4 linked regions of the Drosophila melanogaster genome follow. The protein of the gene in region 1 interacts with the protein of each later gene in a pairwise test. Each region holds a gene or a part of one and is shown in the gene's direction. Other genes may lie near its edges. The genes, in order: CG15638, Vti1a, BORCS6 and CG14354.

Evidence for each region.
Region 2: the proteins of CG15638 (region 1) and Vti1a interact in a two-hybrid assay, tested with the Drosophila melanogaster proteins (one large-scale study listed by BioGRID).
Region 3: the proteins of CG15638 (region 1) and BORCS6 interact in a two-hybrid assay, tested with the Drosophila melanogaster proteins (one large-scale study listed by BioGRID).
Region 4: the proteins of CG15638 (region 1) and CG14354 interact in a two-hybrid assay, tested with the Drosophila melanogaster proteins (one large-scale study listed by BioGRID).

The regions. Positions count from the first base shown.
Region 1 is NT_033779.5:13,534,737-13,537,521, reverse strand, and holds CG15638 (uncharacterized protein), read left to right. Parts: upstream 1-1,743; 5' UTR 1,744-1,800; coding exon 1,801-2,124; 3' UTR 2,125-2,231; downstream 2,232-2,785.
Region 2 is NT_037436.4:690,979-694,831, reverse strand, and holds Vti1a (vesicle transport through interaction with t-SNAREs 1a), read left to right. Parts: upstream 1-1,912; 5' UTR 1,913-2,053; coding exon 2,054-2,147; intron 2,148-2,211; coding exon 2,212-2,810; 3' UTR 2,811-3,346; downstream 3,347-3,853. Other genes in the region: CG13894 (uncharacterized protein), read left to right, coding at 1-1,549; RabX6, read right to left, coding at 3,422-3,853.
Region 3 is NT_037436.4:539,020-542,666, forward strand, and holds BORCS6 (BLOC-1 related complex subunit 6), read left to right. Parts: upstream 1-1,831; 5' UTR 1,832-1,921; exon of another isoform or gene 1,922-1,982; 5' UTR 1,983-2,021; coding exon 2,022-2,409; intron 2,410-2,465; coding exon 2,466-2,940; intron 2,941-2,997; coding exon 2,998-3,043; 3' UTR 3,044-3,128; downstream 3,129-3,647. Other genes in the region: Cypl (Cyclophilin-like), read right to left, coding at 3,211-3,647.
Region 4 is NT_033777.3:25,813,624-25,817,125, forward strand, and holds CG14354 (uncharacterized protein), read left to right. Parts: upstream 1-1,855; 5' UTR 1,856-1,934; coding exon 1,935-2,369; intron 2,370-2,424; coding exon 2,425-2,886; 3' UTR 2,887-2,951; downstream 2,952-3,502.

The DNA.
Region 1 (2,785 bases):
GAAGGACAGGCAGCAGGCTGCTTGGAGCCGGTCGAGCACTTGCCTAATGAAGTTGTTCCTTAAATCGGCAAAGGCATCGACGAAGGACCACGAAGGACCAGCGAGGAGTAAAAATAAAAAGGAAACGCTTTCTGGGTTCCCCGGACAACGGCAATAACAACATCAATGCACTTAATGCTCTTGTTTGCTTAACTTTATTTGATGTCCTGGCCTTGGTTACTTTTCCCATACCCTGCGCATAACCATATGTACATATAAGCCAAAAGCCACGCAATTTGCCATGGCTTTTGTCTATGCCATATGTACAAATGCAGGAAATGTAATTTGTAGATAGCAGAAAAATTCCGATTAGAAGGCGGCCACTGATTTGCGATTGCTGATTTTATGATTTTATCTACGAAATGCGAGTCTCTCGAATTATTATGATATGTATTATCCCATGTACAGTACAATGTTTTAAATTATTTCTCGTGCTCAATTTGCCTGAATTACATTTTTTTTTTTGTGCAGAGCTCGCAAAGTGTATTCAATTATTCAGGTCTTACGTACTCTAACTTTAGCTGCTGTCCTTCTGGCTGGGCTTGTTATTGTTTTCGAGCGATGACTATGTTGTTTACAAATGAACGCAGCTTACGCAGCACGAATGGCAGCACAAGGACCTTTTTCTGCCAGCCACATGCTGACCACTGGCTCCCAGACAAGAAAAGAGGAAGAAGAAAAAAGAGTGATGAGGAGGGGGGGGGGCTCGTACGAAAGCAGGACATCATTTTGCTGGTCTCGAGTGTAATGCATTTAGCGGTGAGCGGTGGCACGGAAAATATTCGCTCTGCCGATATGGTTTCGCCTTGCACCGAATACTTGGCTTATTTTGCGGTCAAATTAATGCAGCTGCAGGAGGCAGGAGGACCAGGGCCAGGATGTCTGCAACTCGTTCACGGTGCATGTATTTTTAATTAATTGCAAGACCCCCGCCCCATCCCCTACATTTTCCGCAAGGTAACAGGAGCTGGTTTTGCCCGGCCATCGCATGCCATTTCGTCCTCCCATGTGGTCAGCCCCATTCCTCGTCCTCCCTTCCTTTCTCGTTCCACGTTCGTGTCCGTGTTACTCCTGGATTCCTGCCTCCTGGAAGGAGTGTGTCTGTGTGCCTGGGCACTCCTGGCACAATAATAGGTTTACTTCCACTTTTTTGCAGTATCCTGCATTGGCGATGCTACCAGGGATGTCGATTTCAATTATGGAAGACATGAATTAATTATTGCTCTCAACTTAAGTAATTGATTTAAATTAGTTATTTCATTGAACAAGTCGAATTTGATATTCAGGGCCAAAGCAACAGTATAAAATATATGATTTAACTTTTTTAAGATAGCTGTCTATATTGTGTAGCCTTTCTTTATGGTTTAAAATTGATATTATAAACAATTTAATTTATTAAAGGGCATTTTAAAGTCGCATAAAGAAGGTTTAACATTTTGTTATCATAATTTTTTCGCATATGACCGCAAGTCACCAGCAGCGCTACATCATTTGCGGTTAATTGTAATTAAAGTTCAGTGGTATGCTCCAAAGCACACATGTTGCCCCTTCTGCCGGCTAACTTTTCCGGGTGGCCACCACAAAATACCGAACCATATCGCATCCTGTGCGGAGCTCAGAATTTCATGCTCATGATGTCACAATTTGAAACACTTCGACATACATACATACATACGTATTCATAGATGTCAATTTCCCAAGCCAAATTTTTGTGACAACAATCGACTAGAACGGAGATTATAATCCACCGCCCAAGCTAGAATGCCGGAAACGAAACCCAAGACGCACTGCCGACCCAGCAATGGCCTCGACCAGACGGAGGAGTCCGACACTCGTCTGGCTGCCAATCTGGTCACCCAAAGGAACCTCCAATTGCACCCACGTCCACAGCACCCACGCCCACAGCGAGCTCGTCGAGATGCCACCGGCTTTACGTCCAACCAGGAGGTGCGGCTAAAAGCCGGCGACATGCGCATGGCCCGGCTGCAGATCAGTCTCTCCCAGCTGCGAACCGCAATGGAGGAGTCGGGCAAGCAGCTGAAGGACCTCTGCCAGCAGGTGCGGTTGAATGTGGATGCTGAGTGAAGGGTCCTGGCTGAAGAATTCCTTTGCAAATGCATAATCATTCGGTTTAGGTGGTGCCAAATTCAAGTGCTAACGATGAAATAAAGATAAAAAGAAATAATGTACATAATGTCATTTGGATCTCAATTTTCTTCCTCTTTTAACGAAGATGTTTTATGTTGGGCTCACAAAATACTATTTATTTATTTGCTTGATACTTTAATTTTTGATGCAACATGAATGCTATAAAAAATCATAAGATTATAAAACTTTTAATGCTAGTCCATACAAAACATATATACATACATATACCACGCATATTTGCGAAATCACCAATGACCGAATTATGACAATCAAAATACTAACGAATTTAATTCCGTTTCTCATTGCAGGCTGCATGGATCCCATGTCAAATTCATTTATGAGTTTTAGCACTGCAACAGACGAAGCTCATTCGAAGCCCACCAAAAAGCATTTGGCTGTTGTTCCACGAAGTCAACAAAGAGAGACAGGTATGTATGTACATAGATATGTGATGTATACATATACATATGCGATATATGCGAGTTGCATTCATATGTTAATATGTACATAAATGGAGGTGTGCAGACTGTGCTTTCTCATAATTCCCGGCCCCAAATCCCTTTCGCACTTGGGAATTTGGTTGGGGAAAGCGTGATGG
Region 2 (3,853 bases), on another chromosome or scaffold:
GTCCAATTCGCGTCAGCACCCGAGTATGCAGTTCTTTGCGTTTCCCCGGCCGGAGAACCCCTTCCACAAGCTGTGGAAGGAGGCGTGCCACGCCTCCCTAAGACGAATTGTGCCCTTCAAAAAGCCAGTGGTATGTGCCCTGCACTTTGACCCCAGTGTCTTGGGTGGCAGGCGACTGCAGTCGAATGCGCTGCCCACCCTGCGTCTGGAAGTTCCCTCCAACCTGGAGGCCGTTGAGCAGCAGGCCATGGTGGAGGAGATCGAGAGGAGCCGAAAGTGCGCCTACATCAATGCAGTGGTATACGAATGGCTAGTAAGGGCCAATATCAATCCCCAGCTGCGAGGTAGCATTACCCACGGAATGATCAAGGACAAGGCGGAGAATGCCAGACAAGTCATAGGGAGCACATCCTTTATAGCAGACAATCGCTGGTTAAACCGTTTCCGAGAGACTCATCTTCAAGGCTTTGCCCAAAAACTAGCCAGCAACCAGTTGAAGCCACTAGGATCCTCCCTGTGGATCCCGGACATCGTACAGGACCTAGCCCATCTCTTTCCGCCCGCGAGCGCTGAAAGAGTGGCCAAACTGGAGGAGATGCCCGAGCAGTACATGACCTACATGCAACAGTACGGAGAATACGAAGAAGATGATGACAGTATGGATGTAAAGGAGCAGAGCTATCAAGAGCAACAGCAGCAGCAACAGCAGCACTTTGCCCTCCAGCAGCAACATATGCAACAGCAGCAGCATCAAATGGGCCACCCATGGCCACCGTTTCCAGGACATCCCGGACATCCTACTCCACACCCCGGGTTCGCCAGCTTCAACGACTTTTATTTCGAGCGGCATCAACAGCAAATGCAACAGCAACTCCAGCAGCAGCAGCAGATGCAACAGTTTCCACCCACTATGCCACCTCAAAGGGAACCCTTTCAGCCCCAATTGCCGCCAAATGTTCCACCGCAGCGGGCCAGTCCCTTCCAGCCCGTTCAGTTGGCCAAGAGACCCAAAATGGAGTCACCCGATGATGACGAAGTGCAAGAGATTAACTCAGCGGTGAACTCACCACCATATCCGCTAGCAGAATCAACCTTAACCAGCAAGCACAGTCGAAGTTCCAGTCCCAACGAGCAGAACAACAATAATAGCGGGGGAAGAGACAGTGCCAGCAGCAAGGAGAACGCCCCCAAGGGAGGCGGAACAAGTGGCAAATCCACGCCTGCCCTTTCTTCCAAGGGAAAGGACTCACCTGCACCAGCTCGAGCTGCGTCCACCAAACCCGCCTCTGCTCCCGCCTCGCCAAAAAAGATCCCCAATGGATCCAGCTCCTCCGGCAGCCAAACCAATGGACACACATCCCCAGACCCCGAGGATAAGAAGGCTTTATGCATGCTGAAGGAGTTGGAAAGCTACCACCAGGCCTTGGAGTACCTAAAACCGCTGGAGGACTTCGTGCTCTTCAAGGAGAACTTTCGGGCTATTGGCTTGCTGTCCCAATTGGAACTGGTGCTCCGAAAAGGGGACAAGGCCACACTGGTCGAGGGTTAAGAGTTTTCTAATCGCGGACCAGGACAGCACAAAACATAAATGTGATGAACAGTGTACATATGTATCATGTAGTATTATTAAATCGTACTACCGCCAAAACAGTTGCTTAGGTTAACAAAGAATCTCCACTCGCATAAAGCTGAACCTAATTAATTAATTTATTAATTACTCTAAGTACAATAAAATGGAATTTATAAAATAATAGATATGTTTGTGTTTTATTTACGTATTTAAAACGGAAGTTGGTTTTATCTGAGTTCTTACGAGAATATTGTAGTCCTTGAAGTTGGCAGTGTTTTTTACATGAGTATGGCAACGCTGACTCGAAATCAGAGTGACCACGACTTAAAAGTATTTATAGATTGCTGTATTACTGTTCACCTCATGACTCGGCCACACTTGGACAATGTTTACTTCTTTTCTTCGATAAATCTGTAATTTTCGCGAACTAAAACAGAACAAATACCATAAACAACTGAATAAGGTAGAATAAAAACCGCACAAATGTCGCTTCTGGAGCAATACGAACAGCAATACGCCACGTTAATAGCAGAAATAACGGCCCATATTGGACGGCTGCAGCAGCAAAACAACAACAGTGAGTGGGATGATTGTCCATGGATTGTACATTATGGTGATTACCATTTGTCCATTTACTCCAGGCGAGCGCCATGATTTGTGCAGCAAGATCGACTCCAGTTTGCCCGAGGCTCAGGAATTGCTGGAGCAGATGGGTCTGGAGGTGAGGGAGCTAAATCCTGGACTGCGGAGCAGCTTCAACGGAAAGCTGCAGGTGGCCCAGGCAGAACTGAAACGGCTGCAGGCGGAGTACAGGTTGACCAAGGACAAACAGCGCTCCCAAGCCAACACATTCACCACTCTGGACTTGGGTGACAGCTATGAGGATGTGTCCATAAGTACAGATCAACGCCAACGCCTCTTGGACAACTCGGAAAGGATTGAACGGACGGGCAACAGGTTAACCGAAGGGTACAGAGTGGCCTTGGAGACGGAGCAACTGGGCGCCCAGGTCCTAAATGATCTGCACCACCAAAGGGAAACTCTACAGGGAGCCAGGGCTCGACTTCGAGAAACCAATGCCGAGCTGGGAAGAGCTTCTCGCACTCTGAATACCATGATGTTAAGAGCCCTGCGGGAGAAGGTGGTCTTGTATGGAGTGGGTGTCTGCTTTGTGGTGGCCGTGGGCGTCAGTCTCTATCTGACCTTCGCACCCAGTTCAAGCAGCACCGCCTCGTCGTAGTAATTTTAGCTAGCAAACCAATAGCCAATGATCTTAGCCCAAATTCAAATGTTATAGAAGCCTGTCCATTCCAATTTCGTGAGTTGATTATTTATTGTTTAGTATATTTTATTTTTACGAGATATTCTGTGGAAGAAAGCTGCAGATTACGCACTAATCTATATAAGATAGGATGGAGTATTACGTGCAATAAGAGTCGAAGCTTAGAGTAGTTATCTGCGGTCAATCGATGTCTATATATTTTGTTGTCCTTTTACCTTTAAGATTAAATTGACCTTCTTGTTAATCGATGGAATTCCTATTACTTTTTAATTCTTACCGCAGATTTCTAACCTATCACTCGCGTATCCGCCATCCTAGCTTACGTGTACAAAGTTTAAGTGGTTAATGTTTGGCGCCTGGTTAATAGAAACTAATCCTACTCTATGACTCGTGTTCGCGTTCGGGACGTATTTTTCGTAAAAATTCGAATTGAACATGTACGTATCTAAAAATCATAACATAGCCGAAAGCTATCAATAAATAAAGGAAACAGTAAAAATGCATCTCTGCGTGAGCATTGAGCCTGGCGGGAATAAGGGTTCCTAGCCGAACTCAATGTTCCCCAACTGCTAGCAGCCGCAGGAGGAGGCGTCCTCCTCGTTGGTCGCCGCGCCGCTGCTCGCAGTGTCCACCTGGAAGCTCTTGTGCTCCAGTGCCTGCAGTTCCATTTTGGAGCGATTGGCGTGGACCAGTTGCCTAGAGATGTCACGGAACATCTCCTCCACACCGGCGCCGCTGCGACAGGAGGTCTTGTACGTGGCACTGATCAGTGAGTGGCACTGCTCGCAGAAGGCCTCCACTTCCTCATCGCTGACCTCCGGCTCCCTGCCATCCAGATCGCTCTTATTGCCACAGATGAAGATCTTGGCATTCTCTGCATAGGTCACAATGTCCAGCAAGTGCTGCGACAGCGAGTGGAACGAAGCGGCGTTGTCCAAAGCAAAGACCAGGATGGCTCCCTCGGCGAACTTGTAGTACGAGGATGTGACCGAGGCCACACG
Region 3 (3,647 bases), on another chromosome or scaffold:
AGTGTCGCCCATGAAAATGGAAAATCTTTCTTCGATGCGATGTAAATAAACAGTAAGAGTGCGACAACATTTGTTTATAGAAATGGAATGGAATTTAAAGTGCGAAATAGGGAAATACTTAACAAAACAAGGATCCAGAAATTGAGTTCTTTTATTTTCGACCAACTTGCTTGTTTTTCCTATTGGATTTAGACGTTTAAAAATACATTTTTTTACAGAATATAAAAGTTAGAAGCTAATTATCGAGTAATTCCTTTCTCCTGATTCATCACATGCTTTTCTTGTCCACATATCAATCCACTTTTCCATATTATCGATGCCAAAATAAACGATTGATTGATTGATTGAAAAATCAACCCACGCATTTTAATAAAAACAACAACAATTCAAATGTGCAGTTACACACACATAACTAAAAGGGAAGAGAGTGGAAAGCCGAAAGAGAAGAAGAGCGAGAGAGAGCAAATATTATCGCAGTTATTACGAAATCGCAATCGAAACATAACGGTAGATATAGATAGGAAAAGCACCAATACAATAAAGCGAATATAACCGCTAGAGGAAGAGGGGAAGAAGTGGGTGGGTGAAAAAGAAAGATCGCTGTCTCTTTCTCGCTCTCATACTTGCTGACTGCACAATTTGCAGTTAAAAGAAAGAAGCAGAACGGCCTGAGAAGAAAGACAAAGCATAAGAGTAACTGGCCAAGAAGAAGAAAAGAACAAGAAGTCAAGAACAAAATAGAAGAGAGCACACACACACACACATTCGTACGTACCCGTAGAAAACAGAGAAGGCAAAAAAGTCTTTCCTTTTTTTTACACTTTTATCCATTTTCAGTTGCATTTTATAAGATTCTTTAGTACAAACAATTTAACTTACTTGCTTTTTTTAGCAGCCACGCATGCGTCGAATGGGAATTTATGCTCCTTGAGACTCCAATTGGAATTTGTACCCCGGCTGCAAACAGTTTTTTTTTCTCTCTTGCTTTATTTCCACACTGCACACATACACATATGCAGCGGCACATACACACAAGTGCACGCACTGCAGTCGATTTTGTTTTTTTTGCATAAAACTTTATTTCATGTATGCCACTTGTACATTGTTTGTCACCAATTTGCGTATTTTGTACATCAAATTTTATTTTACTTTTCGTTGCCTTCCTTATTATTTTCCTAATCTTCACATGCACTTTTTTAGCGACGCCAACACACACATTTGCACACGCACACACATGGCGAGGATGAGAGAGGAGAAAGAGAGCAAAACACCGTTTTCGTTGCTTCCTTTTCGCTTATTCCTCTTTAGCCGCTTCTTTTCGATTCTGGCTCTTTTTGGCACTTTTAGCCCCAAGTTGCTAGCAATTCACTTAGCGTACGAGCACTAACAATTAAAACGAATAAGACTCGAAAAATACGATGGAAACGCGAACATATAAACAAAAATCTACATTGGTTTTATTGCAGCGCTACGCAGGTGTGTTTTTACGCGCTCATCGCGCAATTAAATTAGAACGCTGCAGATTTACTTAGTTCACTCCAGTCTGCCCAATGCGCGCCGCACACCTCGGAGCCGCAAATTATAAACACGACTGTCTTCGATTTAACGGGCTGGCCTATCGGTCCTATCGATGACTCGATAGTGCGAGCTGGAGTGTGACCATTTCTTGGTAAAAGCAAAATCGTGAAGAGTAAGTGTGCGATACTATCGAACTGTCATATACTCAACCAAATAACATCTGAAATCTGTTTCTCACTAAAACCGAAATTTCCATCAGGGTTAGGAAAATATAGTTTACGCACATCAAGTTGCATAGGTCAATCCTACGTAAAAAAGGCTCGATATAGGTAAGGTGGACCTCAGCCTGAACAGGGCCTAATGCAAATACATTCGATAAATAGATGTTATCGATAACCATTTGGTATATACCAGTAAATGCTTTGTTTTGGTTTTCATTCAGAAAATTGACATACATTTCTTAGTCTGCCTAAAGTTCCTTGGATTGAAAAGAGCAGTGCAGAATGTCGCACCGCCACCAGGACATTCCCATCCGCCCACGTTACGGTTATGTGGCCGAGGAGAGTGGCCCATCGGAAGGGGCAGCCAGGAGTTCTGGATCCGGAGCCACGCCCGCCTCCTCCTACACGGAAATTCCGTTCCTGGCTCAGTATCCGGGAGCGGTGCCAGAGCACGTGCTCCAGGATCTGACGCCCACAGCCACTGGCCATGCTGCGATTCCCGGAAGCACAAAGACAAGACCCAACGGCGAGAAATACCTTAACCTGGATTCGGGCGAGGATCCCGACGAGGAAGACGATCCCTTGGAGGAGGAGGACAACAGCAACTCGAATAGCAACTCTAAGGGCAGTTCCGGCGACATCGAAAGGCACAGACTGAAGGCAGAGAGCAGTGGGTTCTAGGTTATCTACCCATAGTTCCTGACTAAAGCATCTTCCTTCTTTCAGCTGTGCCCTACGAGCTGGACGGCGAAACCAGTGACTCCGACGGGATGCGCCACTTTGTGGCCCACGATCTAGAGGCCAAGTTGCGCGAGCGCGTGGCGGCTTCGGCCTACTCCTCGGAGCACACCACGCCCCTGAGCTCCATGGGTCCCATTGGAGCCACTTCCGGCAACGGTCTGCTCACGCGGCGGTTCCTGCAGTCGCGCAACATTCCCGAAGTGGACGGCAGCGTCTTGAGCGACATCGAACTGGAGGCTCAGTACTTGGCCAGCTCGGTGGACAATCTGATGGAAAACCTGGGCAACCTGCTGCACTCAATCTCCTCCATAACGGCCGACAACGTGGAGGTCCATCGCAACGCGGTCAACAAGCTGACGGACACTTTGGACGCGAATATCAAGTGCCAGTACCAATTGCTGGCCAAGGCGGAGGAAATCACCAAGTCGATGAAACCCACAGAGCAGCTGGGTCAGCGCATGTAAGTGGGTCAATTCAAGACAGATCCCTTTAGTGTAATGGACTTTCTCTTCCGCAGAAGGCAGATCAAGCGGCTGGTGGACATGTTGGACAGCACCATGTAAAATAGGGCTACGCTATCCTGTGATCAACCAATCAAAGAGATCTTGTCTTTCTAGTCATTCCGTAAATACATATAATCAGTGTTATAAAATCCATATGGAAAGATACCTTTCGCTTGTTTAAATCGTACTTATTCTAGCAGTTCCTCCAAAAAATCCACCTCCTTGGCTCACAGCTTCTCCACCTTGGCCTTGATGATCCTTAGGGGATCCACGGGGCGATCGTTCTTGTCGGTTTCCACCATGCCGATCCGCTTGACCACCTCCATGCCCGTGTAGACCCTGCCGAAGATCGTGTGCTTGCCATCCAGCCACTGCGTGGGCGCCAGCGTGATGAAGAACTGGGACCCGTTGGTGTCCGGTCCAGAGTTGGCCATCGAGAGGATGCCCGCGCCCGTGTGCCTCAAGTCGCCGTGCAGCTCGTCCGCGAACTCCGATCCGTAGATGGAGGCGCCTCCGCGGCCAGTGCCCGTGGGATCGCCGCCCTGGATCATGAAGTCCCTGATGATCCGGTGGAACACCACGTTGTTGTAGTAGCCCCTTCTCGAGAGTTCGGCAAAGTTGCGGCAGGTGTTGGGCGCGTGTTTCCAGTACAGCTCCACGGTGA
Region 4 (3,502 bases), on another chromosome or scaffold:
ATATTTCGTGTGTGTTGTGTACGCGCATGTATGAATTTTCAATTTTTTGAACAAGTTTCGGTTTCAGTTCAGACATGTCAAAATGTCAACTTGCTTAATTGAGAGTCCGCAAAACATCGAGCATCGCATCGCATTGCATCGCATTGCATCGAATCGAATCGAATCGAGACCTTAACTTCAATGTGCATTCGCATGGAATAAGAACAAAAGCCCAAGCAGATTCCAATTTCAGATCTGACATCAATAAGCACTTACAGTGGCATAAATATTATATATACTCGAGAGCTGGCAAATATATATGTCTATATGCGGTTCAAACACCAGAACGACATCGGCACTTCGCCACCTCGCCGCATAGACGAGTTGGTTTTCAGCTTCAGTTTTCAGTTAGCAGCAGGCACAGGACATGTTCGATGGACTGGCTGCAGAGGAAATTGAATTTGTGGGCAGGACCTCCCTCCCTAGACGGTTCATCCGATGGTGTCGGCGACGGGGCAGTGGGCTCTGCAATATCGAAGAAGGATATTTGAGTGGCAAGTAAATCAGAAATAAGAAAGAAAACACATCGTATACAAGGGAGCTCTCTTTGAGTTTGATCTATGTGTTTTTCGCAAAGACCAGACATTCAGAAAATTGATGTGTTTGTTTTCATTCTCCAGCCTTTAAGACATCATATTTCTCACAGAAACTATGCCTTCGGTTTTTTATGAGGCTATTTCAACTCCGTTTTGGTTGATCCATACACTTGGAAACACTGATATTGACTTTACTTTGAGACAAACTCGTTATTGCGATATTCATAGTTCGTAAGATTAATGCATTTAATGCATTACATATGCATATGCATACATATTCTAATATTTTTATCTTGCACACAATTTTTTTTTAAGTGTATGGCAAAAAGAAAGCATTCTGCTGGCATGCATATGAATTTCTTCTAGGATACTTTTTTTATGCGGTTTGCCGCCCACGTTCCGCACTTGGAGTGTCATTTTTGAGTGGAGTCGGTATGTGCGTAGGATGGGGCAGTGGGTATTGGTATGGAACACTTCCGCACAGGCACTTGAATACGCAAAAAGGCGAATGCAAGTGACGAGGTCCATGAACAAGGCCGAGAGTGTGTCCTGGCCGAAATACGGACTTTTGCGCCAGGGGACGACTTTGGTAAACAACCGCACTCTGGTCAAATTTGGACTGTGGTCCTGGCCACATATATACACAGTTTAAGCAGTTAAAGTTATCTGTTATCTCTAATTGAGAGAGAAATGTGTGTGCGTGTGTGGGGGCTCAAATTTAAAGTTGTTGATTTTATTACGCATACGCCTAGTGGCTCTAGCCATGGCCTCTTATGTTGGCCGTAACAAACTTGCCCGCTTAATGGCGCAGCTTTTTCGGGTCCTCAATCAAATGGTAGGAAATGTCGGGGCTTTCGTCATGGGAAGCCGGCAAAAACCCTTTTCGGATTAACAGATCAACGCACAAATGACCCGAGCAATCGTCTTGGGTTTTCCCAGTTTTTTCCTTCTTGATTTTCCCTGCCATTCCGATAAGGCTGGAAGCTTATCGGGGCTGAAGGACTTTGACGACCCAATTAATTCTTGTTCAACAACCGGCCGAAAAAAAAAATTGTTGCCACATGCATTGTTAGTCTACTTTTCATGTCAAGGAAAAGCGACGGCTGAGAAAAAAAAAACTAAGTGAATAAGGTACAAAAGAAAATAAAAATGAGAAACTCGTGAACGTTAAGTTAAATTGCGCGGAAAAGTTATGCGTCCCCGTTACCCAGAGTTTCTCTAACAAAAAAACTTTGTTAAACATTTTATTCCCTAGAACGCTTGCCACGTTGGCTTAGCGGAACTACTTGAAATGTAAAAATGTTCGAGCCTTGAGTTGAAAAGGCAAACTTGGCAGCAACTTTGAAGGTTCACATAATTATGCGCATTGCCTTGCCACGGCTCCTGTGCCACATCCTTCTCTATCACCTGCTCATGATCTCGTCCAGCCTTGCAGCCTGCTACCAACGTCATTCGAGTTGCCCGCAGAACCAGCAGCAGTCCAGATCCCAGCTTCTGGACCAGTCCGCGGACCTCACCATGGGCATAAGACAAGGCAACTCCAAGCAGACCGCCTCGAATATTGCCCAGAAGGCTGCCCAGGAGGCCAAGAAGGCGTCGGACACTCAGGCACCAGCTGCTCTGGCTGCTGCCCGCCAGGTGAAACACCAGCTGGCCGAGAAAGCCATTGCTGCGGCCAAGGCCGCTGAGGCGGCGCTGGCGGGGAAACAACAACTTATGGAGCAGCTGCAGGACGAGGTGCACGAGGCGGAGATTATTGTGCAGGAGGAAACCTACTCACTGGTTGGTTCACAGGTATGTGCTAAACCCCCTTTTATTACCAATTCTATTATGATATGCTAAATTTCAGACAAATGTCAATGTCGCTGTTGCCACAGCGAAGCAATGTCAAACGCTGTTGCAATCGCTTCGGAGCTCAGTAAAAGTTGCCGAGGAGGCAGTGAGCAATGCTGAGGCAGCTGCATCCGGTGCCCAGCAGGAGTTGTGCGAAAAGAACCAGCTGGTGGAAACCGCTCGCCAGAGAGCAGAGATGCTGATGCAGCAGCTGCGCTCCGCCAAACTGGACTATACCAACACGAGGAAGGCCGCCTACAGGGCTGCCTGTGCCGCCAACGAAGCAAGGAACAAGGCTGTAAGGGACCGAAGATCCTACGAGGAGGACATCGGTGGAACTTTTGGGCAGCAGCAGCAGCAGCAGCAACAAATGCTGCACAATCACGACCAGCCAGGAAATCTCCAAGATCCAGAAGTTAAAGGACAGGTGGAGGGATGGGAGTATAATGAGCAGGGTAAAGCTATATTTTCTAATTGATGTGCCCTGTAAAATACATATTATTTTGCTAAAATAGTTTAAAAAAAAAATGTATTAAAAGGACCAAATTCCGGACTTTATTTTAAAGTTTATCAGCAGCATGAGACCATGTTTCGAGTGAAAAGTGTGGGCACATTGGAACTTTCTCTGCCAAACGCCTGGGGGATTTGGCAACGCCAATCGAAGCGAACTCCAAAAAGGCAAAATGACAGAGCCAAAAAGGGACACGAAACCCAATTGGCTTGTAAAACAATTTGACCAAAGCTATTTTGTTATAACTTTTGGCTCTTTTTTTTTGTTTTCACATTTTTCTTTCCTTTTTTTGCGGTCACAGTGACAGTGGAAAAAGGCGTGACACAATAGGGGGCATTACTAAAGTTTTCACCACACGTTTTCAATAATGATTAGTTTCGGTATTCTCTTTGGGGAATTGACAAAGAACATTGCCAAGAACATTAAGTTTAAAGTTTTTCGATTCTCGCTCGCTTGCAAAAGTTTACTTACATAAGCAGAAATGGCAATAAATAAATGTTGCTTGTCACCGTATTAATTGGGTCATCAGTTGGGATATCGTGAAAGTTGGCTGGAAAGCCAAAGGTTTCCACCCGTAAAATGC